3 linked regions of the Tamandua tetradactyla genome follow. The protein of the gene in region 1 interacts with the protein of each later gene in a pairwise test. Links are inferred from orthologs where the notes say so. Each region holds a gene or a part of one and is shown in the gene's direction. Other genes may lie near its edges.

Region 1 (7,165 bases):
AGCCAGCTGGGCTGCACCAGGTTCTTTGGATCCACCAATATCAAGATCTCTGCTAAGTCGAAAACACTACGCGGCGAAACCAGATTGTTTTTTCCTCCTCATCTTTTCCACCCCGGCTAAACTGAAAAGTGAATTCGCCTAACTGCCGCGTGAAATTACAATTTTTAAAAAATGCTGGAGACAAACTTTTCTCTTCTTTTGCGTCTTCTTTTATTTTTTACTCACCTTTTCTTATATGACGACGAGCAACTCAGCAACAAGCAAGAAGGATGTCTTTAATCTTGGAATTCTTCTAGGAAAAAAAAAAATGAAGTAGAGGGGGAAGGGCCCTTCCTGCAAAATTCGAGTGTCCTAATCGTAGGCTCTCGCAGGCTTGACGTCGGGCAAAAGAGTGGCTGAAAGCTAGACTCTCCTTTCCTGACGCTGGCGGCCCGCAGCCCGGTTCCCTGGCGTAGCGCTACCGGCGCTGCTGCCAGCCCCTCCGCCCTTTCTTTATATGTGAGGGCAGATTTCCCGCAGACATCACTGTTATGATGGCTCATTTAATCAAACTGTTTAATTGCTCTGGTAATCACTATCATCATCACAGGTGCTCAATCATTCATCATTTTTGGAGGGCTTTATTGACCTCCGCAGCTCATTCCCCAGCCCTATTAAAACGCGGCCAAATTTCTGACTCCGCTTGAAGTCTCTGCAAGCTGCGATCTAAGCTTACTTTGTGTTGCCCGAAAGCTTACAAGAGAGCAGTGGAAACAGAAAGGGGGCAAAAAAAAAAAAAAAAAAAAAAAAAAAAGCCATCCCACCCTTCCTCCCTAATTTCTCTCTCTCCTTCCCTCTCCCTCTTTCTGACACACACACACACACACACACACACACACACACACACACACACACAAGCGCGCGCGCGCACGCACAACCCCTTCTTTCCCTATCGGGGCAGTCGCGCGGAAGACAAGCTACTTTCTACTTTCCAGAATGGGTTCAAAGTTGAGGAGGGAGGCTGCTGTTGAGGAACAATCTGTTTTCGATTCTCTGGGCAGGGGACCATGAAAGAGGACGAGAGCGAAGAATTGGGGAGAACGCACCCTCGGAGCGCCTGGCCAGGAAGCCAAGAGTCTGGGGGCGGCGTGAGCGACCACACGGCGCGCGCGGAGTGACCGTGGCCCCGCCCCCCAGCTCCGGGCTCGGCTTGATTGACGCACGGCCGCGGGGAAACTAGCCGCGCAGAGAGGTAAGGCCCGGTACGACTCGGGCCAGGGATTGGGCGAGATACCGGCCAGAACTAATGTCCACAAACTGTGTGGGGTAGTTACCTTCCTTCCCCCACTCTCCTTTTTCTTTCTGGAAAAGTTCTTTCGGAGTCAACCCCATCTTTCTGAACGAGCGAATTCGCCCCGGTGTAATTAACAGAGCCATTAGCAGACGTTACCGCGCGGAGGCCGCTGCGCCCTGGGCGACCACAACAAAGCTGGGTAGGGAGCGCCGGCCACTCCTCCTTCCACGGCATCTTCTCTCTTTCTCTCTCCCTCGCTCCCTCCCACTGCCCCCTCCACCCCCGCCTTCTCTCCCCCAGGCTTCCCAGCTCTAAGTGAAACCCACTTTTGGAGACGCACACCAGTCTCTCTCTCACATGCACGTACACAAGCACACACCGTTGGCGACATCGGGCATCAGACGTCCGAACGGCACCCTTCCGACTGCCTTTCCACTCCCTTCCTCCCTCCTCCGCCGCGGCCCTTCTAAGACTCTCCCGGGTGGCCCTTGTCCGCACAGCCTTCGGGGAGAGCGCCCAGAGTTAATCTGGTCTCTTCTTGTCCTGGAGAAAAAAAAAAATGAGTATTGACAAACGTCCTGGATCTGCACAGGGCAAAAAGTGCCACATTAAAAAAAAAAAAAAAAAAAAAAAAGTCTAGCCCGGCGGTGGTACCCTCTGTGGAACGGAGGCTGCTGCCCTGGGGTGTTACCGGCAAGCCTTCGGGGGGTGGTCATCGGCAGGCAGAGCGAGTCGGGGGCCGAGGAATTAAAAGGAACAAAAGCAAGAGCGCCATGCCAAACGTCCCCGCCGCGACTCAGTTAGGCAGGAGCCCCAAGTAATGGGAAAATGAACTAGAAGTAAGTTTTTAAAAAAATAAAAAATAAATAAAAGATCGGAGGCTGTACCGTACTTTCCCTGTGGTTTTCTGCAGTTTTCCTTTCTGTGCTCTCCCTGTCCTCTTCATTCTCTCTCTCCCCCTCTCTCTCTCACTCTCCCCGTGCGCGCGCGCGGGCGCGCGCGCGCGCGCACACACACACACACACACACACACACACACACTCCTCTTCCTCCCCCTGCCGTCCCCGCGGAGGAGAAGGCTCACTGATTTGCTGGGGTCCGCTCGGCTCCTGCCTCCCCTCCCCCTCCCGCTCCCCGCCCCCCTCCCCCACCCCCCTCCCCAGCCGGGGCAGTCCGATCGCACTCGCTGCATATCAGAGGCTCGGCGCGGCGCGCTCCTCCTCGCTCCCGCTCCCCACTCCCGGGATGTGTCTCCGCCGTACGACGGGCTATGGCCACCACGACTTCCGGGTTCCGTCATTTCGTTCTCCCGCCGCCGACCCTCGCCGCCAAACTGAGGCTCTTCTATAAGCCAGGCAGCAGCCAACCTGCCAACACCTACTGACACTCACTCATCTCCCAGAGAGAGAGAAAGAGAGCGCGAGAGAGCGAGCGCGAGTGAGAGCGAGCGAGCGAGCGAGAGAGGGAGAGACAAAATACCTACCAGGAAAGGGGGGGAGGAAGTCCAATTTTTGCAAACTATTTATTTTTTTCTTGATTTTTTACCCTCTGCTTTCTTTGAAAAATACTTTAACGAGAGAGGATCATATTATAGATACCGCGGGGGCAAAGCCAAAAGAGGGGGGGGAGGGGGAGGAAAAAAATCAAGAAGCAGAAACCCCTCGCGGAGTTTTGCTGGAAGAGAAAAAAAAAAACGGTCTGAAAGATTCCTCCTCTTCATCATCATCAACCATCATTCATTCACTACCTTGACATTCCGGGCTTTGATTGACAGCTGGAGTGGCAAAAAGCCATGAAACACGACAGTTCGGTTACATGTGGGCTGCTGACGGGCCGCTCGTAACCTTCAGTTCGGGGGCTTGACAATTTTTTTTTCTTCTTTTTCTTCTTCCTTTTCTTTCTTTCTTTCTTTTTTTTTTTTTTTTTTTCCAACTGAGGGGAAGAAAAGAGAAAGAGGGGGAAAGGAGGACCGAAGAGGAGGAGGAGGGGAGGGGGGAGGAGGAGGAGGTGGAGGAGGAGGAGGAAGATCAGGAGGAGGAGGAAGAAGAGGAAAAAAGAGAAAAAGAAGAAATATCACAAGGAAAAAAAAACTCTTCGTTGTCTTGCCTGGGCTTTTTTTCCCCTAAAAATAACATATTGGAGAACTGGGAGAAGTCTCCTTGGTCTGGGAAAAAAAAAGGACTCTTCAGCCTAGATCACTTTCTTATCCGGACTGGGATATTAAATATACGACACATCCAGGAGTTTATTGGAGCGCAGACTGATGGCGCAAAGGGTAGGTTTAAATCTCCAACACTTACCTAGATATAAATCCTCTCCTAAGAGGGGCCTGTCCCGAAGCCTCTTCTCCCTTCAACGCTGCTGCTGCTGGTGGTTGCTTGATGATGGCGGCCAGTATTTTTTTTAAAAGCAGCAAAATTATTCATCGGCTTCTTTCCCCCCCGTGCCTCTGCGTGTGTGCGAGTGTGTGTGCGTGCGTGTGTGCGTGTCTGGGCGCGCGTGTTCCAGCGCTGTGCGAGCGGGCGGACGGCGAGTGCGTGTGAGTGCTGTGTGTGTGTGTGTGTATGTGCAATTGTTACACGCTTTCGCCTCGCTCCAGCTTTTACCCCAGCAGCGCGATTCCCCTGGTTCTCCTGCTGCCGCCGCTGCCGCTGCCGCGCCGCTGCCGCCGCTGCTCCTGCGGCTCGGGGCGGGCACCGGCTGCGTAGGAGCCGCCGCCGCCGCCGCCGCCGCCGCCGGGGCCGCTGCTGGGGCCGCGTTGCCGCAGCCGCTGCGCCGCCGCCTAGACTAGCCTGGGCTGCTTGTTTTGTCTCTGAAATTGACAAGGACGCAGGGAATCCGCTGCTAAATAATGTTTCTGGTAACTTTCACGTTATTCCTCCCCCACCCTCCGCTCCCTGCCCCCCGGGAGGCACTGGTCCCAGCCTTTCCCCGTCCTCGGCGATCTCGTCCTGATTATTAGCTTTTTTTCTTCTTTATTTTGTTTCATTTCGCCTTTTGATTTATTGGATCCTCTGGAGGAGGCGAAGGGGGGTTAGGGGTGGGATCGGGGCTTCCTCCGCACACTAACTGCACTTCTCCGTTGGTTGGCTCGCCGCGGTTCTGCTGCCTCCCGACCGAGCGGGGCCTCCCGGAACCCCCTCGGTCCCCGGCCTAAGCTCCCCGCCCTCTCCCTTCTCTAAGCTGCTCCTCGTTCATACTTTTTCATTTTAAAATTTAAGAACATTCCCCCCCCACAACTTTAAACTCCGTGGTTTTCGCTGGTTTGGTTTCTGTATGTTCAACTCGTGCTCGGTACTTTTCTCCTTTCTGACTTCGCTTTTATTTTTATTTTCCCCTCTCCTTCCTCCGTTTTTTTTTTTTTCTTGCACCATATTCTCTCTCTCTCTCATACTCTTTCCTTTTCTCTCTCCCTGTCTCTCTCCCTCTCTTTCTCCCTCTCTCTCCCCCTCCCGCCCTCTTCTCCTCCGCTCTATTTTCCTTTCCCTCGGACTCCCTCTCTCTTTCTCATCTGATCCTTTCCCACTTCTCTCCTCATTCCCCCTTTGCCCCGCTGCCTACTTTCTCTCTTCCTCTTTCTGCTCTCCCCGGCTCTCTCTCACCTCCTGCCCACCACCTTCCGTCCTGCCGGGTTCTGACAGTACGATGAGCTGCCCCATTACGGCGGGATGGACGGAGTAGGGGTGCCGGCTTCCATGTACGGAGACCCTCACGCGCCGCGGCCGATCCCCCCGGTTCACCACCTGAACCACGGGCCGCCGCTCCACGCCACGCAGCACTACGGCGCACACGCCCCGCACCCCAATGTCATGCCGGCCAGCATGGGATCCGCTGTCAACGACGCCTTGAAGCGGGACAAGGACGCGATCTACGGGTAAACCGACCTTCCCGGACCCAGCTTACTGTGTGTGAGTGTGAGTGCGAATGTGTATTTGTCTCTGTGGGGTTAGGGTGTGGACGAAGTGGGGAGTTATGTCTGCTTGGGGGGAAAGCCACTTGCCTTAGGAAAGGACAGTGAAGGGGGGCCGCTCTTCTGCCTGCTAAAAGTCCCCGGAAGATTTGGCCTCCTCCACCCCCAGGGCCCCTCCACTCCGGACCCCACAGCCCCGGAGTGACCAAGTCCTCAGAATCCTTCCAGGGCCTTCTGCCCAAGGGCAGGACTCCTGGCCGAAGGGCGCAGAGCTGGTCCTTCCAGGCCCCCTAACAGAGGCCTTGACGAAGGGGAAACTTTCCTCCTGATGAGAAGCAACTTTGTTTTTTGTTTTGTTTTGATTTCTCTTCTGTTTCCTACCGAGGGTCTGGGAGGCAGTAAATGCAGCTTGAGCTGGGATCAGGGCTCCTTCTGTCGGCCAGGAAGTCCTAATCACCCACTCCTTAATTCTCTGTAAATAAAGGGGGCAGAACTTGAAGTGCAGCGGGGTGGAAGGGACTGCTGCTTGCAAAGAGCCGCTCTTGGAGGGAGAAAAGGAGAGGGCTTGAAATTATTTTATTTTCTGAGAGAACTCCGGGAGGGGTGGGGGTGCACGGTGGCAAACTTACACCGCACCGGCTCTGCAGACTGAGGGTAGGTGGGGATAGGCGGCGGGATGCTGAGGGGAGGAGACAGTCGGTAAACCCCAACTGAACCCCGAGGCCAGAGGCCGCAAGCATCCCGAAGTGCAGCGAAACCGCCCGGAGGAACACAAAGGGCAAACGCGCACGCACACTTCCAAATTTTAACACTCGAATTGTTTATTTTGGGCTGGAGCAACCATGGGAGAAATGTGGTCTTTGGAAGGAGGTTCTTCAGCGTTCAACATTCTTATTATTTTGTCCCCCACGCCCGAACTTTACTAGGAGTAAAGCAAACAAGTTTATAAGGCAAGGGGGTGGAGAGGTTAGAAGAGCACTTTCTCGGATTTAGGAAATATCATTCCGGGTGTGTATATAGGTGAAGGCTTCGGCCTCCTCTGAAATTCTTATTAAAAAGCGGAGCGGAAACAAATTTTGATTTTAGAGGGTTTTCCTTTCTTAGGAGGTCAAGGCTGGGTCGCAGGGGTTGGTTCGGTGGCCTGTGCGGTGGTGGGAGTGGGTAACCCTGAGCTTCTCGTATGTTTCCTTGCGTTTCAGTTGAGGCTGTTTTTACTTGGCGGGCTAAAGTGGCCAGGGGGCTTCTCTGACCAGAGCCGGGGGTGGGGGTGGGGGGACTTCTGGGCTGAAGGAAAAGGTCAGGACGTTTTTCCTTTCTGTTTCTGGGCCAGGATCGGCTGGCCGAGAAAGGGTTGTAAAGTGTGATGCGTGCCTGTTATGTTAAAGAAGGAATCCAAACCCTCCAAACTTGTTGATTACAGTTCTCGCTCCTTCCCCTCTGCACTCTGTCTCCCTGTGTGTGTCTCTGCGTGGCGCTGCCCGTTAGGCACCCGTTGTTTCCTCTGTTAGCTCTGGTCTTTGAGAAGTGCGAGCTGGCGACCTGCACTCCCCGGGAACCCGGAGTGGCCGGCGGAGACGTCTGCTCCTCCGATTCCTTCAACGAGGACATCGCGGTCTTCGCCAAGCAGGTCCAGCCTTCTTGACCCACTCACCCCCCTGCAGCCCCTCACTCCCCCTCCCCTTCCCTCAGAGCTTTACATGAAAGAGGAGGAAAAGGCAGGGACACCCGATCTGTTCCTCTGGCCCAGTCGGCTCTCGACGCCTCCTCCCCATCCCCGAGCCTGGAGGCGAATTGGAAGCGGAGATAAATGTGGGTGTTTGTTTTCCCCCCCAGTCAGGAATACAGGGGCTCGACCCTCGAATTAAAGTTGACCTGCTCCTAATCTGGGGCTTGGCCTTTTCCCTCGCCTGCAGCTACTTAAACAAGAATTGGGGAGAGGGGCTGTGAGGGGCCCGGAGTGCCGGGGAAGGAAGGAAGCTGGG
Region 2 (7,165 bases), on another chromosome or scaffold:
CAACCCGCTTGCGTCGGAACTCCCCCGCTGCCCCGCGAGGGCGCCCATGCGGGGAGATGTGCTGGGCGCCTCGGTCACTTGCAGCTTTCTGTCCATGCAGAGCAGAGTGTGCCCTCAGGCCCGTGCACCGGGGGAGACGCGGGCGCAGGCAGCTGGCTTGAGTCAGCGCTGGTCCCCCGGCCCTGGCTTCACCCCTTTTCATCATCCTCAAAACAGCCTCGTGGCCAAAAGCTAAGGTTTTCACCCAAGACTCTGGGCCGGTGTAGCTCCACCCTGCAGGGAAGCAGCTGGTGGCGAAAGTGCTTCCAAGAGGCGTGCAAGGAATTAAACATAGTGGCAGTCCCCGGACACACTTAGACTCAGGCCAGGCTGTAGGGGTGCTGCCAGGGGCCCACACTGTAGAGGGCGCTGCATCTTGCCAACACATGCCCCAAGTTAATCCATTAACAGACAGGCGGGCATCTCTGCCACCTGGAACCCACCCTCAGTGCCAGCCCAGCACCCACCACCGCACAGCCTTATCCCCATGCCGCCGGAGCCCATGCTTCCCTCCCCCCCCGCCTGACACCCCTGAAGGCAGCTGCATCCAAGGACTGGGAAGGTGGGGGGTCAGCTGCTGCCGCCAGGGGCAGATGTTGCACGGAGCCCAGGGAGGGCTTGAGACGCTGATGTCAGAACTGGTGACAGCCACCTGTCGGGCGCAGGACACCAAGGGCTTCCCTCGGGTCACGGTACCCATCTAAGGGCGGGGTTCTGTGTGCCTGAGCTTCATCCCCCATGCAGGCGCCAGGGCCCTGCACACACCCGGCATCCTCAGTCATCTGTTCCACTGACATCACACCACAGCTGTGCACGCTGAGCAGAGGGCAGCTGGTCAGGCTGAAGGCGCCGGTGCGTTTCCCCAGCACCCAGCTGTGGGCCCTAATCCAGGCTTCATCACCACCAGCCGGCCACCCTCACTGAACTGGCAGTAAGTAAACGTCTCCATCTGAATTTACAAAACAAATGAAAGCCAAAGAAGAGCCATCTTTTGGTTGGTCTGCTTTTTTATTAATTGGCATTCCAAGTGAGATCTTTGTTTATTAAAATGGTTCTGTGGCTGCTGGGGAAAAAAATAAGGAAAATGTTGGACGTGACGAATTGAGGGTCCCTCTGCATGGCCATGGGGCCTGGGGCCTAGCAGCCCCCCACAGGCCCTTGGCCACTCTCCTTCTCTTGAGGAGGCCACTGCAGCAGCCACAAGGCTTCCGGATTCTGCCAGCCCAGAGCCGCTTCTAGAACCTTCTGTGGTCTAGCTTCTCCCACTGCCGCTCCTGCTGCTGGGGAGAGGTGGACACTTGCCCTTCCTAGGCCTGCAGGACCCGCCTTCCCTGGATGCACATGGCTTTGGAGCATCTCTGAGCTCACCCACCATCTCCTCGGATGCGTGCTCCCCTAAAATCACGGCACAAACTCACCCTGGGCTCGGAGGCCACGTGCTGGGGTCAGTTCAGGAAGACCTCCTGGGGGTACGGCCGGAGACGGATGCCCACTGCCTCAGGATGCACACAGAGAAGGCAGGCGCGCTTCCTCGGCAGCACAGCCAGCCCCTTGCGGATGGGCGCCTCTGAGAAACAAGGTCCCCAGGGCCTGGGGCCGTGTCTCGAGGGGGGTCCACACAGAGCACCCTGCCCGCTGGCCTCCCGGTCCTCCAGCCCGTGAAGGGCTCTCAGCAGACACGGCTCACCTCCACCTACCTCGGGTTTGTCTGTGGAGGAGCCTGGGCCCCAAAGGGGTGTCAGCACCGAGGAGGGGAACTCCCTGCCCTTGAAGTGGGGGGGACCCAGGATGGCAGTGCCCTGACCAGGTGTTGGGGGTGGGGGGTATCCCCGGAGGCCAAGGATGCAGTGGCAAAGGGTGGGAGGTAGAACCCAGACTCTCTCCATGCAAAGCCTCAAGGGCACTGGACATGTCAGCCTTGCCTCAGTTTCCCCCCTGCAACAGGAACTCCTAGTTCCCGCTCCCCCCACCTCCAGGGCACATTGTGGGCAGGTGACCTCCCAGGTGGGATTGTGTCTGAGCCATGGTTCAGGCATTTTAAATTTAAAACAATTTTAATGTTTTAACATTTTGATTGTGGTAACAGATATGCAACATAACATTTCCCATCTTAGCCACTCTTGGATGTGCAGCTCAATGGGGTTCATTACAATCACAGTGCTGTGCGCCCCCCATTGCCCACACTTTGCCATCCCCCAAGTAGAAACTCTCCCCCCTGCCACCCCCACCCCACCCCAGCCATCCCCCGGCCACCACCCCCAGCCACCTCTAATTTATGCTCCGTCTCTGTGAATCAGCACATTCTAGTTATTTCACAACTGGGAGCTCACACAATACTTGTCCTTTTGTGTCTGGCTTATTGCACACTACATTATGCTTTCAAGGTCCATCCGGGTTGTCGCATGTAACAGAACTTCCCTCCTCGCAGCTGAGTGAAACTCCAGTGTTCTCACTTTGTTTCTTCATCCATCTGCCATGACCTCGGGATGCTTCGACATTTCAGCCGTTGGGGACAATGCTGCTGCGAGCCCTGGTTCCCGAACAGCTGTCCCCTGGCACCGGGATGGCCGGGCCCTGTAGATAATTCAGGTGGTTCAGCTTCGGCGACCTGCCAGGGCCCCCCAGCCAGAGGGCAGCTGCTGCAAGTCTGTCTGTCTGCCTTTCTCCCTCCCCTCCCAGTTCACCCTTCTCCCTGCTGACTTCTGCACCCCTGTGCTCACCTGGCCCCCAACACCACCCTTCACCACAGGTGCAGACAAGCCCCTCCGAGGTGGGGTGTCTGCCCCCAGAGCCCTTCAGTGCCCACCTACAGGCACCACTCATGTGCTTGGCCAGGTGTGCCCCTTTCCGGATGTCCCTGGGGAGGTGGAGGCCAGCCTGGCAGGGCGGCAGAGGAAGGAGCCGGACAGAGCTCCTCTGAGGTGGCCCGGCCGCCAGGCAGGACTTTGTGATGCCACAAAAAGGCCAGCCTGGCCTCTTATCCCCACCTCCCCTGTGGTCACATCCAGGGGGGCCCCCAGGGGAGGGCCAGCTCCACTGCTGCCTGCTCTCCTCCCAGCCAATGCCTGCGATCCCCACTGCACACAGCCCACTCACCACCAGGTAAGAGGGCCGCCATGGGGGGGTAGACGTGCCCTGGGGGAGCCCTGGGGCCTGGTGGGGGTACCTGGAAGGGCTAGGTGCAGACCCCCGGCCCAGAGAGCAGGAGGCGCTCTGCAGGGGAGGGAACCAGGCCCCCTGTCCCGCCATCCCTGGGTGGAGTTCAGTGCCACCACTGCCTCACCGAGATCTCGGAAAAGTGCCCAGACCCCTGACCCTCAGTCTCCCCAGCAGTAAATGGTGCTAGCAGGGGTCCCCCATATACTGAAGCCCACCAGCCATGGTTGCTGCACCCAGAGCTGACCACCAGCTTCCCAGCCAGGCCCAGCCGTGCTGCCCAGCACCCCTCACTCCCCAGAACACAGCCCTTACCAGCCCCCATCCCCTCGCCACCATGGGCCAGGCCTGGGACATGGTGAGGAGTATCAAGGAGGGGGCACGGGGGCCTGGGGTGGGTTCTCCTTCTGGGGTCTCGTCCTTGGCATCAGGTCTCCCCGAGCAGCTCAGGCCATAGGCGCCGGGTGTCGGGGGTCAACCCCCCCAGGAAGGCTCTGGGCACCAGGTGTGCGCTGGCGGCCCACAGGATAAACTGCAGCCCCCCGCCCCCGCACTGGGCTCTGGCCTAGGGAGCTTCGGTTCTCGAAGGCACGAGCCCTCCCTGTCCAGCTCGTCCCATTCAAGGCACTGCCTGGTTCCTGCTCCCCGGTCCTGCCAAGGCAGGCAGGGCTGGGGTTTGAACCCAGGCCTCTGAGGATGGGTTCACTGCACATTAGAATCCTGGGGGCTCTGAACAAAGCCGAAACCCAGCTCCAATCATCAGACCCGATCAGAACCCCTGCACAGGGGCCGCACCAGCCCTGTCCCAGACCCATCAGCAGGGGACAGAAAGCTGGGCTTGGACAGTGGCCAAAGCACACGCCCCACACCTGCCATGTCACTGTGGGATATCTCCTGCACCCCAAGCCCCCGGTCCCCTCCCCAGCACTCAGGAGCTCACTGAGTCGCCCCAAGCCTCTCCCGTCCCCTGCCGCCTATCTGCGGGTCTGCAGTTTGGCAGGGTCAGCCCCACTCCCAGCCATGGGAGGTCAGTGCCTGCGACACACAGGGGCCCGAGGCCACAGCCGCTGCGCCCCTCTTGTGCGCCTTTCTGGCTGGCTGACATGGGGAAGGTCAGCGTGTCTCAGTTTCCCCATGTAAAGTGCCTGGGGCAGCAGCTACCTCGTGGGGATGCTGGGAGGACCCAACGAGTAAAGCGGGGAAGTGCTGAGCTCAGTAGGAGCAGGTTAAGGGGTGATCCCTCACCCCGGGTCTGCTAGCAGACGTCTTCCCACCTGCCCCTCTGCAGGCCAACGGCCCGAGCACGCTCGCTCGGGTTCACACCGGTGGCCGCTGGCCTGTGATGGGGAAGAGGAACTCACCTCCCAGACTGTCTGCTGCCCGTCCCCGGCTTAGAGGGAGCAGCCGCTGGCAGGTGCAGCCAGGTGGAGCAGGGCCGCACTTGCCTCTACCCCGAAGCCACCTTTGGCAAACAAAGGCAGAGGATGTGCTGCCAGAAAGGCTGATCGGTGCCCCGGCCAGGGCAGGCAGGGGCCAGGGCTCTCGTGCTCCCCTGGGCTGCCCTTCCCTGCACCCCATGCCTGGGTCTCCCTCCCGGGCCTCTCTAAATCCCAGGAGTGACGGAAGGGCTCACAACTGGGCTAGAACGGAGTTCACAGCCCTAACCTAAATAAAAACGCCTTTCCCTGGGCTGCAGTTGCCTGGCAAAGCCCTGGCAATAACCCATCACCGCAGGCAGTTGGGGACTTAGAACAGATCTTCTCCCCCAGTCTTGGAGGCAGAACCTGAAATGGAGGTGTCCTGTGCCTCCATAGCCTCTGAGAGAGGGTCCTGCTCAGCCACGTGCAGCTTCTGGGTGCCCCACCCTTCCCCACCCCAGTGTCTCTTGGCTTGTGGCTACGCCCCTCCCGTCTCTCTCCCATCTTCCCACAGCCTCCCCTCTACATCTCTGTCTTCTGTTCCTTAGTTGGACATCGGTCTCTGGATTTAGGGCCCACCTAGAGAATCCAGGACGACTTTGTCTGGAGGTCCTCAACTTAATTACATCTACAAAGACCCTTTCTCCAAATAAGGTCACGCCCGCAGGTTAGGATGCAGGGGGATGCATGCAACCCACTCCCCCTCCCTCCCTTCTCTGCAAGCCATGATGGTGTCTACGCATGGACATGGAAAATTAATTGGGCCTCTCCTCCCTGCGCCCCTCCACTCATTAGTAAAAGGGTGGGGAGAGGAGTGGATGCATAAACTTTGTAAGCTGTTAGAGATGTGAAGTCCTTTGAGAGCCCAGTCTGACCCCCTTGTTTTCAGGTGAGGGACCCAAAGCCCCAGCCGTTTGCTTCTGCGCCATTTCAGACCCTTCTGCTTCTCTCCCCGACGCCACCATCGCCTCGCCCCCGACCTCAACAGCCTCTGCCTGCCCTCGCTGCCTCCCACTTTGCCCTCTCCTTCTGCCCCAGTGGCCTTTCTGGAACCCTGCCTGGCCCATCTCCATCCTGCTGAACCCTTCACAGGTTCCAGCACCCTCGGGCAACATCAGCTTCTGCCATGGGGCCAGCCTCTTCCTCTCCAGCCTCCCTCTCCCTCCCCACCGGCGAGGCGGCCTGAGAACCACCTGCCGAGCCACTTCCAGGATTTGTGACTGGGCCTAGAAGCATTCCCCCTGCCCCCAGCCCTGCCACCTACAGCCTGTTTTGGCTCGGCTCTGGTCACTCTTGCAGAGAATCTCTGCGACCCTCCTAGCCACTCTCTCAGCTTCCCCGTGCCTGGCCACCAGCACTCGTGGGATTTGCGGCTGTCCTCTGTGGGTGTGTCCCCCCTCCCCTGATCGGTGAGCTGTGCCGGGACGGCCCCTGGATGTGCTTCCCCTGTGCTCTCGGGCAGATGGAATGTGACCTGCCACCATCTCGTGGCCAGGAAGGCACCCAGCTCCGGCCCCCTGACTCCCAATCCAGTGCTCTCCTTGGTCTCAGCCAGAGAGAAAGCCAAGTGGCAGCTCCTGGCGATCCAGGGCTTGGAAGGTGCCTGCTGGAGTGACCCTTCTGACGTTGTCTCCTGGGACAGGAAGGTCAGTCCCAGTGGGAGGTGCCAGGGGACCATGGTCATGCTTAAGGAATGCTGTAGGCCCTTTTACACCACACACACTTACTGAGCAGCTACTGTGTGCCAATCTCTGTTCTAGGCCCTTGGGGTACACCAGTAAACAGGATACAAACACCTACCCTCCCAGAACTTGCGTCCCAGGGTGAGGACTCAGACAAACAAATGAATAAATAAGTGTATAATTCGTAGCGTTGGGAACCATGTAGGAAAATAAAGCTGGGTGAGTTACTGGCTCATACCAGTGGCCTGAGAAGGCCTCACTGAGATGACAACTGAGCAGAGGCCTGAGTGAAGCAAGTCAGGTGGATAGCTGAGGGAAGAGCATTTGGGATTCAGGGCCAGTGCAAATGTCCTGAGGCAGGAACATGTTCAGCTTGTTCCAGGAATAGCAAAGAGGCCCGGGGAAGTGGAGAGATGGGAGAGGAGGTCAGAGAAGTGATGCCGGGTCAGCAAAGACCTGTAGATAACTCTGGGTGAGAGGGGTAGTGGTCAGAGAGCTAGGGGCAGGATCTGGCTTCGTTCCCATGTGGAGAATTTGCTGTAAGGGACAAGGCGGGGCATGGTCAGGAGGCTTTGCAGTAATCCTAGGCTGGGAGGGGGCGACAGCTGGCATGGCACAAAGTGGCCAAATCCCAAATGTATTTGCGGGCACAGCTGATGGGACTTGCAGATGGATTGGGGCGTGAATGAGAGAGGAGCCCAGGCTGACTCGGAGCCTTTAGCCTGAGAAACTGGGAAGATAGAATAGCCTCCTCTGGGAGGGGTAGGGCAGGGAGCTGGGTTTGGCACCCGGCATGAGCAGCTTTCCTGGTTCAGGGATAGGAGGTGACTGGAAAAGTCCTGCTTCTGGATTTCCCCTTCACCTCCCTGC
Region 3 (7,165 bases), on another chromosome or scaffold:
TGAAAATATTTCCTTTATCCTTCCCACCCATATAAAATAAATTATCTTTTGGCTCTACTTTGAAAATGTTCCTTGTGATTGTCCTCTCCTTTCTATCTCTACTGTCACTGTCCTAATTCAGGCCTTACTTAATTTTCCCTACTCAAACCATTTTGTGTTGGGCAAACAGGTAAGTCTTCCTGAAACATGCTTTTCTGCTTCCTTGTTTAAAGCAAACACTTCAGTGGCTCTCCAGTGTCTACCAGCTAAAGCACAAACTCTGATGTTGAAGGTCTTCACAACCATACCTTTCTAATATTCTTTTCATTGTGCCCAACAGAAACCCTGTGCGACAGTCAAATTCGTTAGCCTGTCCTCCAGATCCAATTCTTTCTTCGGATCTACCTTGGAACCAATTTCTAATCACCCAATCATGTTGTTTCTAATCCCTTATAGGACTTCTAGAACATGGTGACACTTCTGTAGCATGTATTATATACTGAAATGTATTTGGATAGTGCCATAGGATAATGGTTAAAAGCCTAGTTACTACGGCCAGCTGTCCTGATTCAATTAAGAGACCACCTTGAATATAATACCCTACCATGGTAAGCACTCAATAACATTAACCATAATAATTATTATTGTTGTTGTATACATTTCTTGTCTCCCTAATAAAATGTTGCTAGAAATAAAAATCTTTGTATATCGATGGTACTTTTCTCAATTTTTGCCCTGTGAGCTTTTATGAGGCTTGCAGTTTGAATTAGTTGCTCACAATGGCTTTCTTACAGGTTCTGGGTTGACTTCCTTTTCTTCTTTTATGATGTGATAACTTCCGTTGCTGTAAGGGCTATGCTAACTCACACTCACTGTGATGTGTGATTTGAGCATACAGTTTTGTGCCCAACTTTTGTTTAGGGTTGATAAAACAAATAGTTTAACACGAGTATGTATGTGAATAAAACAATTGTCCTAAAGTAATAGGACATTGTCTTACAATTAATACTCACTACTGAATGTTCTCATGTGAAGAAGTGCCAAGTAGCTTATTAAGAACTGCCTCAAAAAGCTTTCATAAGTGCCCCTTATCTTGCCAAACTCGTTTTGTATAATGATTGGGAAAGAGGCTGGATTGATGAAAGAATAACATTTTATTTGAGATCTCAAAGCATTCAGCAAGACTGCACTCCATTTTGCAGACTGGGAACACTGACGTTTGCAGTGCTTCAATACATTTCCTTTGCCATCTAGGGAGAGGGAAGGACAAGCAACAGAATATCTTACATTCCAAAATATGCTGGGCTTTTCCTGAGTAATTGCACTTCTATTTTATCTTATGGCCATTGTGAGTGTACAACCAGACAGATTTCCCCTTCTGCCCTGCCTAATGAAAAAGAGTCAAATTTCTGGTTTATCTAGGGTTAGAGTATAAGACTTTAGCAACAAGTGCATTTCTTTTCCTGATTCCATGTTATCCTTATTTTTCCTTATTCTTTCCTACCCATTTTCAATTTGAGTCATCTTGTTCTAATATATATCTTTGTAAGGATCTGAAGTCTCTTTTCATACAAGATGGGCAATAAATACATTAAAACTAGTTTTGACACTCTTCACTTTTCCATTAGACTAAGGCTGGTTGTATAATGCAAACGCCACACCCTTTGGAGAGACCCACACTTGGGTTTGAATTCCAGCTTTGATACTTAATAAAAGTGGGACCTTGGGCAAATTACTTAAGCTTTCTAAGTTCCCTCTCTATAAAATGGAAATAATAGTTCAATAGTTCATCTCACAGAGATGACTTGTGGATAAAGTAAGACAATTCATGTAAATTACTTGGTGCGTAGTAGGCATTCAATAAATGTCAATTCCTTTCTTCTCCTAGTTGCTTGTTAAACTATATTAAAAACTAGAACTGGACTGTGATAATGCATTTCTTAATATTAAGTATTTAAGCCAATAACTAATTTCCCCCAGGGGGGAACAGAGAGAAATGTTTGAATTAGTTTCATTTGGGGAACTTATTTTCATAATCTTTTTTTCTTCAGCATGATTTAGCTTCACGGTCCCCAATTAGTTTTTATGCAACAAAACGTCACAGTTCAGTATTCCTCTTAACTCTACTGTGATTGTTGTTTTTATCTATTATTGCATCTGCTGCTTATTAGAGATCATTATTAGTCATATTAACAGTTGAATTGGTTTTTATAACTCCTTCATACTGTCAAATGTTTGCTCTCAACAATTTCCATGAGTTCTAAGGATTTAAAAGAGTCAAGTTTTTAATGGCAACGTTACAGCTCCAAACAAAACAAACAAGCCAAAATAACCCGGGCAGAAAAAAAAAATCTCCCCTCGACCGTGTTCTTTCGTGTTAATTTTATACGTTTGCAATTAAGTAGAGCTACGTTTGCCTTAAGGCCGAAATCAAAATGTGCTGAGATCTGAGAAAGGAAAGAAAAGTGGAAAGTGACTAATTGAGCTGGAACTACGGTACCGTTGCACCTTTAAGGCCTGGAGACTTGGTATTAGCTCGGCCTCCTTCCCAGCCCACCTCTGAACTCTGATTGACAGGTCGCCCGGCGAGGAGGAGCAGAAGGAGGCTGAAGAGGAGGTGCAGTGAGGAAAGTAGCGAGAGGAGGGGCCCGTCTTTTCTCTGATGGCCAATCAGCGGAGGGGGGCGGGGCTCCGCACGCCCTCCTCCCTCCTCTTCCCCGCCTCCTGGTGTCCCCGCCCCCTCTCCCCTTTCCTCTGCCCCCTCCCCTATCCTCCTTCTCGTCGTCCTCCTCCTTCTCCTCCTCCTCCTCTCAGGCTGTGGTTTTTCTGTATATGTTTCTGGAGTCCTGAGCCTGAGCTAAACAAAAGCAGGAGGCTGACGGGGTTGCTGGAGTTTGCAGAGACACGGAGGAGAAGAGAGCCTGTGCTTTGCCTGCTGCCGCGGCTGGGGGAGATCTGGCTTTTGCAACAGCCCACCCCCTTTGAGATCACTCTGGCCCGGAGTGGGGGTGGGGGCAGCGGGGGGTGGGGGGGGGAAAGTTTGCATTGCAATCCCCCTGCCTTCCTTCCCTTTCTCCCGATCAATGCATATTTGCAAAAGGATTAAGCTACAGATTTAAGCGCCGGGACCCATTTCTGCTTTGCAAAGGAGACCGGACTGGGAAACCAAAAGCCAGCTCTGATTTCTTTTCGCCAAGTGGGAAGGTGGTTTATTTTTCTTGCTTTTTTGGAGTCAACACCCTTCCCCGCCAGCCCTTATCCCCACCCTCACCCCGCAACCCCTTCACGCCCCCTCCCCCTCCCCACTCCCCATCCTCCCACCATCCTCTAAAGAGGCAAAGGGATTTTTTTTTTCTTTTGGTCTTCTTTTTCTCTCCTTCCCTGTTTATCCTGAAAAGGATTTGAAGACAGCTTGAAGGATAAAAAGCCTTGGTGCTTTCCAGGAGCCAAGCCGAGAAGAAGAGGAAGAGCCGGGGCCGCCGTTGCCTTTGGAGATGGACGAGCAGCCCAGGCTGATGCATTCCCATGCTGGGGTCGGGATGGCCGGACACCCCGGCCTGTCCCAGCACTTGCAGGATGGGGCCGGAGGGACCGAGGGGGAGGGCGGGAGGAAGCAGGACATTGGAGACATTTTACAGCAAATTATGACCATCACAGACCAGAGTTTGGATGAGGCGCAGGCCAGGTGAGATGGAGGCTTTTCTTTTCCTTTCTTGGGTTTTTTTGTTTGTTTGTTTGTTTTTCCCCCACTCGCTGAGGGGAAACAATGGGAAGCGATCACCACAGCGCTTTCTTTTTAAATGTTATTTCTTTTCCCATTTTGACGAGCAGCTACATGGCGGAGGAGTAAAATTTGCAGGAGCGTTGTTATCGAAAGTGTAATCGCCCATGCCGTGATGTGGCTGTGTATACATATATCTAGATAGATGTGTGTGTATGAATATAGAAATACTCATATATAGCCACAAAAACATTCAGGGACGCTGAAAATGCTGCCAACTGATCCAGAAGCGGCCCTCGGCACTATTTACTGCTTTTAAAAAAAGTATCAGAGAAAGCAGAATTGTCAAGTTTTGAGCAGCATTCCATGCCTTCTTATTGAGGGACTCCGTTACATTACAAATAAAAGGTCCCAGGAACACTTTATTTGCAAATTTAGTTGTCTCCTTGCCTAATTCAGCGCAATTTTCTTTCTTGACTTACCCCTCCAAAATTAATGATATTTTCCCCCTTTATTCCCCCCCCTTCAAAAATCAGGGCATTTCTTTGTCAATAGTTGTCAGCTATCCGGAGAATATTTTGTTTTCACTTAATTCTATCTCAAAAAAAAAAAAACTAGTGGAAAGAAAGAGAATACAATTTTGCATTTAGACATATTTGTTCGGTCTAAGAGACTGAGATAATTCTGTTTAACTTTATTGTCTCAATTTGAGTCGGTTTACTAACCTTGGGTGACACGGACAGCTCTGTATGGTCCTTTAAAAAGGGGTGGGGGATAAAAATTAAGCATGCTCTTTTCCCCATGCTTTCTTCAGCACGGCTTAAAATGCAACTAAATAAAAAGGAAAGCATGTGTGAATTTTATGTATTTCAATACTGTAGGGCATGAAGATCTTCATTAAGGAAAAAGAAGCTGTGAAGCTTCCCAACTTAATCCACCGCCAGGTATATAGTCCTCCACTCTAGGATTTTACAGTAAATTCTCTTTCAAATAAAACAGACTAAGTGGCAACCTACTAACAGCTTGTCCAAGGCGGAGCTCAAAAGGGAGAATTTTAAAAACTAATGACCACATATGTCCATTCAATTACCCAGCTTTGTTAAATCTCAGAAGTATTCTCCTCATTCTGAAAATCTTCTAAACATATGTACATCATTCCTATATCGCAAATAGACTTAGTTATAGTAGTAGAAGACATCATTACATCATTATATGTATTTTGTCTTAAGGGAAATAGAAGTTTGAGTTGAGAAAATGAGAAGTGGTAGTAAAAAGCATGAATGCATGAATTACAGTCTTATTTTAGCTGTAAGCACATGCAACATGTAAACTCAAAAGTACTGAGCTTTACGGGTGCTCGAAAACTTGGAAATGTTCAAAGACTCGAACTATTCTAATTTTTTTTAATGGGGAAAAGTTTTCAGAAATTAATTGCTGTTCTTTGTGAATTTTATTACCTGTTCTCTTTTGAATTGGAACAGATTTCTCCATTACATTGATCCAGAAAAATACTCTGGATTATTTGCAAGTTTGTGAAGTGGAAGAGGCCAGTAAAAACGGTTACACACTACTTTTCTGATGTGTTGTCCTTCATTTTTTATGAAACTGAGGACAAACATGGCTTTGGGGGGGTCCCCCTTTTAAAGGCCTGGATGCTTAGAAAGATCAGACCATTTGGGGATAGGGAAATTCTCTGTTCTAGTACCCCATTTGTATGTTATGGAAATGGAATATTTGTGTAAGGCTGTGCAGGGATTTTTGTTTACACTTGGGCCTATGTTTAAGAATACAATTAATGAAAACTATTTTAAAAGATCACAAAAGAGGTCTTGAGTACATTAAAGAAGTCTTTTCTGCCCTTTCTCTCATTCCATATGAGGACTGATTAAATCACCAGTCTGCTTTCTTTTTGGTTAAACGATGTAACTCTATGTAGCAAATACTATGTCCTTTTTTCTTTTTCTCCAGTCATACCTTCATGATGTATATTAATGATTTACTCTGTAAATCATTAATATTTTAGACACAGACTGTGAGTTTATTTGGATAGTCATGAATTCTGAGCTTGTTAAACCTCTGCTCTACATTATTTACAGTATGCTTCTGGTTCATGAGGATGTGTATCTATTTTTTAACTTTCAAAGGGTTTAAAAATAAATTGCATGTGTTTTGAGAGCCAAGGATTTCCATTTATCTTTACACATTCATTTTAGTTAACAGAATTCCCTTGACTAATAGCTGATAGGACCAGTATTTTGTTTCCAAAACAATATCCTTCTGCTAAATGATTTTATAATAAAATAAAGGAAAAGGTATTGTTTTGTTCCTCTGGTGCATTCTGAATTCAAACACATGCAAGAATCAGGTAAATCACTAATCTAAAAGGCAGAATAGTATTTATTTTTTTCCCCAATGGGTGCAAGATTCTAATTGTAAATAATTGAATTTCAACACCTGCAAACAGGCAGTGTGTGCACAAGAGGCATAATGTGAACACCGAGAAATGAATTTATTCCCCATATGGGTATGTTTGCCCCCTGGCAATGCATTTCCATACTCTTTAAGTTGGGGACTGAAATTTTATAAATTGACAGTTCTACACAGAAGACCTTTCAAGCATCTTGTGTTTATGAGAATACAGGGGCATCTGCGGAATGAATTCGAACACATGGATGAATTAAATTTGAAAACACACACACAGACCGGGAGGCAGACGGCTCCTAGGCTGTGGTGGTTGCATAGATTATTCAGAACTGTTAACACATGCATTTGGCCTTGCTGTACTCATTGCTTTGGCTAGGAGTATTGGTTTAAGAATTCCACTTTGATTAAACTACTTAAAAAACAACAACAACTTTGTCTAAATGGGCATAATTTAGGTTAGTTCTGTTCTGCAGTTAAATCCCTATTCTCTCCCTACTGATGAACAGTATTTCTTTTTCTATGGTGGGACTCGCATATTAAGTCATAAAAACAACCGAAGCATGCCACAGAGTTACGCTTGGGATATAATTTTGGCTAAATGTTTAAATTTTCTTCCCTGGTGCATTATCAGCATTTGATCTTGAAAGTCTACCTAAGCTATCGTGTTGTTTCTTTCTTGCAGAAAACATGCTTTAAACTGCCACAGAATGAAGCCTGCCTTGTTTAATGTGTTGTGTGAAATCAAAGAAAAAACAGGTAGGAATGTGATTTCAGTATTTAAGCATTTTCTTTGTCAGTTGATTCACTCAGCAGCAAACACTAACCCATTATTTAAATATTAAAATTTCAGAATATAAGTACTATCAAGACTGATCGCATTTTTCAATAGGAACTTCTAGCCCAGCTTCCTTTAAAGAATGCACTAAGTTTCCTTGACAATTATTATCAAGTGTAACTGGTTTATTTTCCTTTTCTCCATTCCTGGCCTACTTGAAATTGAAATAATAATACAGGTTCTGAAGGGAATTTTATAAAATGTTG

What was found.
Region 2: the proteins of MEIS2 (region 1) and OSGIN1 interact in binary tests that used the Homo sapiens proteins (3 or more experiments, as listed by UniProt). The two-hybrid records come from large-scale screens. The link is inferred for Tamandua tetradactyla from reciprocal best matches to the Homo sapiens genes MEIS2 and OSGIN1.
Region 3: the proteins of MEIS2 (region 1) and PBX1 interact in binary tests that used the Homo sapiens proteins (3 or more experiments, as listed by UniProt). The link is inferred for Tamandua tetradactyla from reciprocal best matches to the Homo sapiens genes MEIS2 and PBX1.

The regions. Positions count from the first base shown.
Region 1 is NC_135340.1:50,202,752-50,209,916, reverse strand, and holds the start of MEIS2 (homeobox protein Meis2), read left to right. Parts: upstream 1-2,464; 5' UTR 2,465-3,536; coding exon 3,537-3,548; intron 3,549-4,039; exon of another isoform or gene 4,040-4,124; coding exon of another isoform or gene 4,125-4,133; intron 4,134-4,914; coding exon 4,915-5,147; intron 5,148-6,668; coding exon 6,669-6,810; intron 6,811-7,165. UniProt on the Homo sapiens protein: Involved in transcriptional regulation. Binds to HOX or PBX proteins to form dimers, or to a DNA-bound dimer of PBX and HOX proteins and thought to have a role in stabilization of the homeoprotein-DNA complex.
Region 2 is NC_135342.1:78,632,334-78,639,498, forward strand, and holds the start of OSGIN1 (oxidative stress-induced growth inhibitor 1), read left to right. Parts: upstream 1-3,021; 5' UTR 3,022-3,141; intron 3,142-7,165. UniProt on the Homo sapiens protein: Monooxygenase catalytic activity. Involved in regulation of cytokinesis; promotes RHOA activity, probably acting locally at the midbody in late cytokinesis.
Region 3 is NC_135330.1:17,809,701-17,816,865, forward strand, and holds the start of PBX1 (pre-B-cell leukemia transcription factor 1), read left to right. Parts: upstream 1-2,736; 5' UTR 2,737-3,183; exon of another isoform or gene 3,184-3,422; 5' UTR 3,423-3,473; coding exon 3,474-3,664; intron 3,665-6,806; coding exon 6,807-6,880; intron 6,881-7,165. UniProt on the Homo sapiens protein: Transcription factor which binds the DNA sequence 5'-TGATTGAT-3' as part of a heterodimer with HOX proteins such as HOXA1, HOXA5, HOXB7 and HOXB8. Binds to the DNA sequence 5'-TGATTGAC-3' in complex with a nuclear factor which is not a class I HOX protein.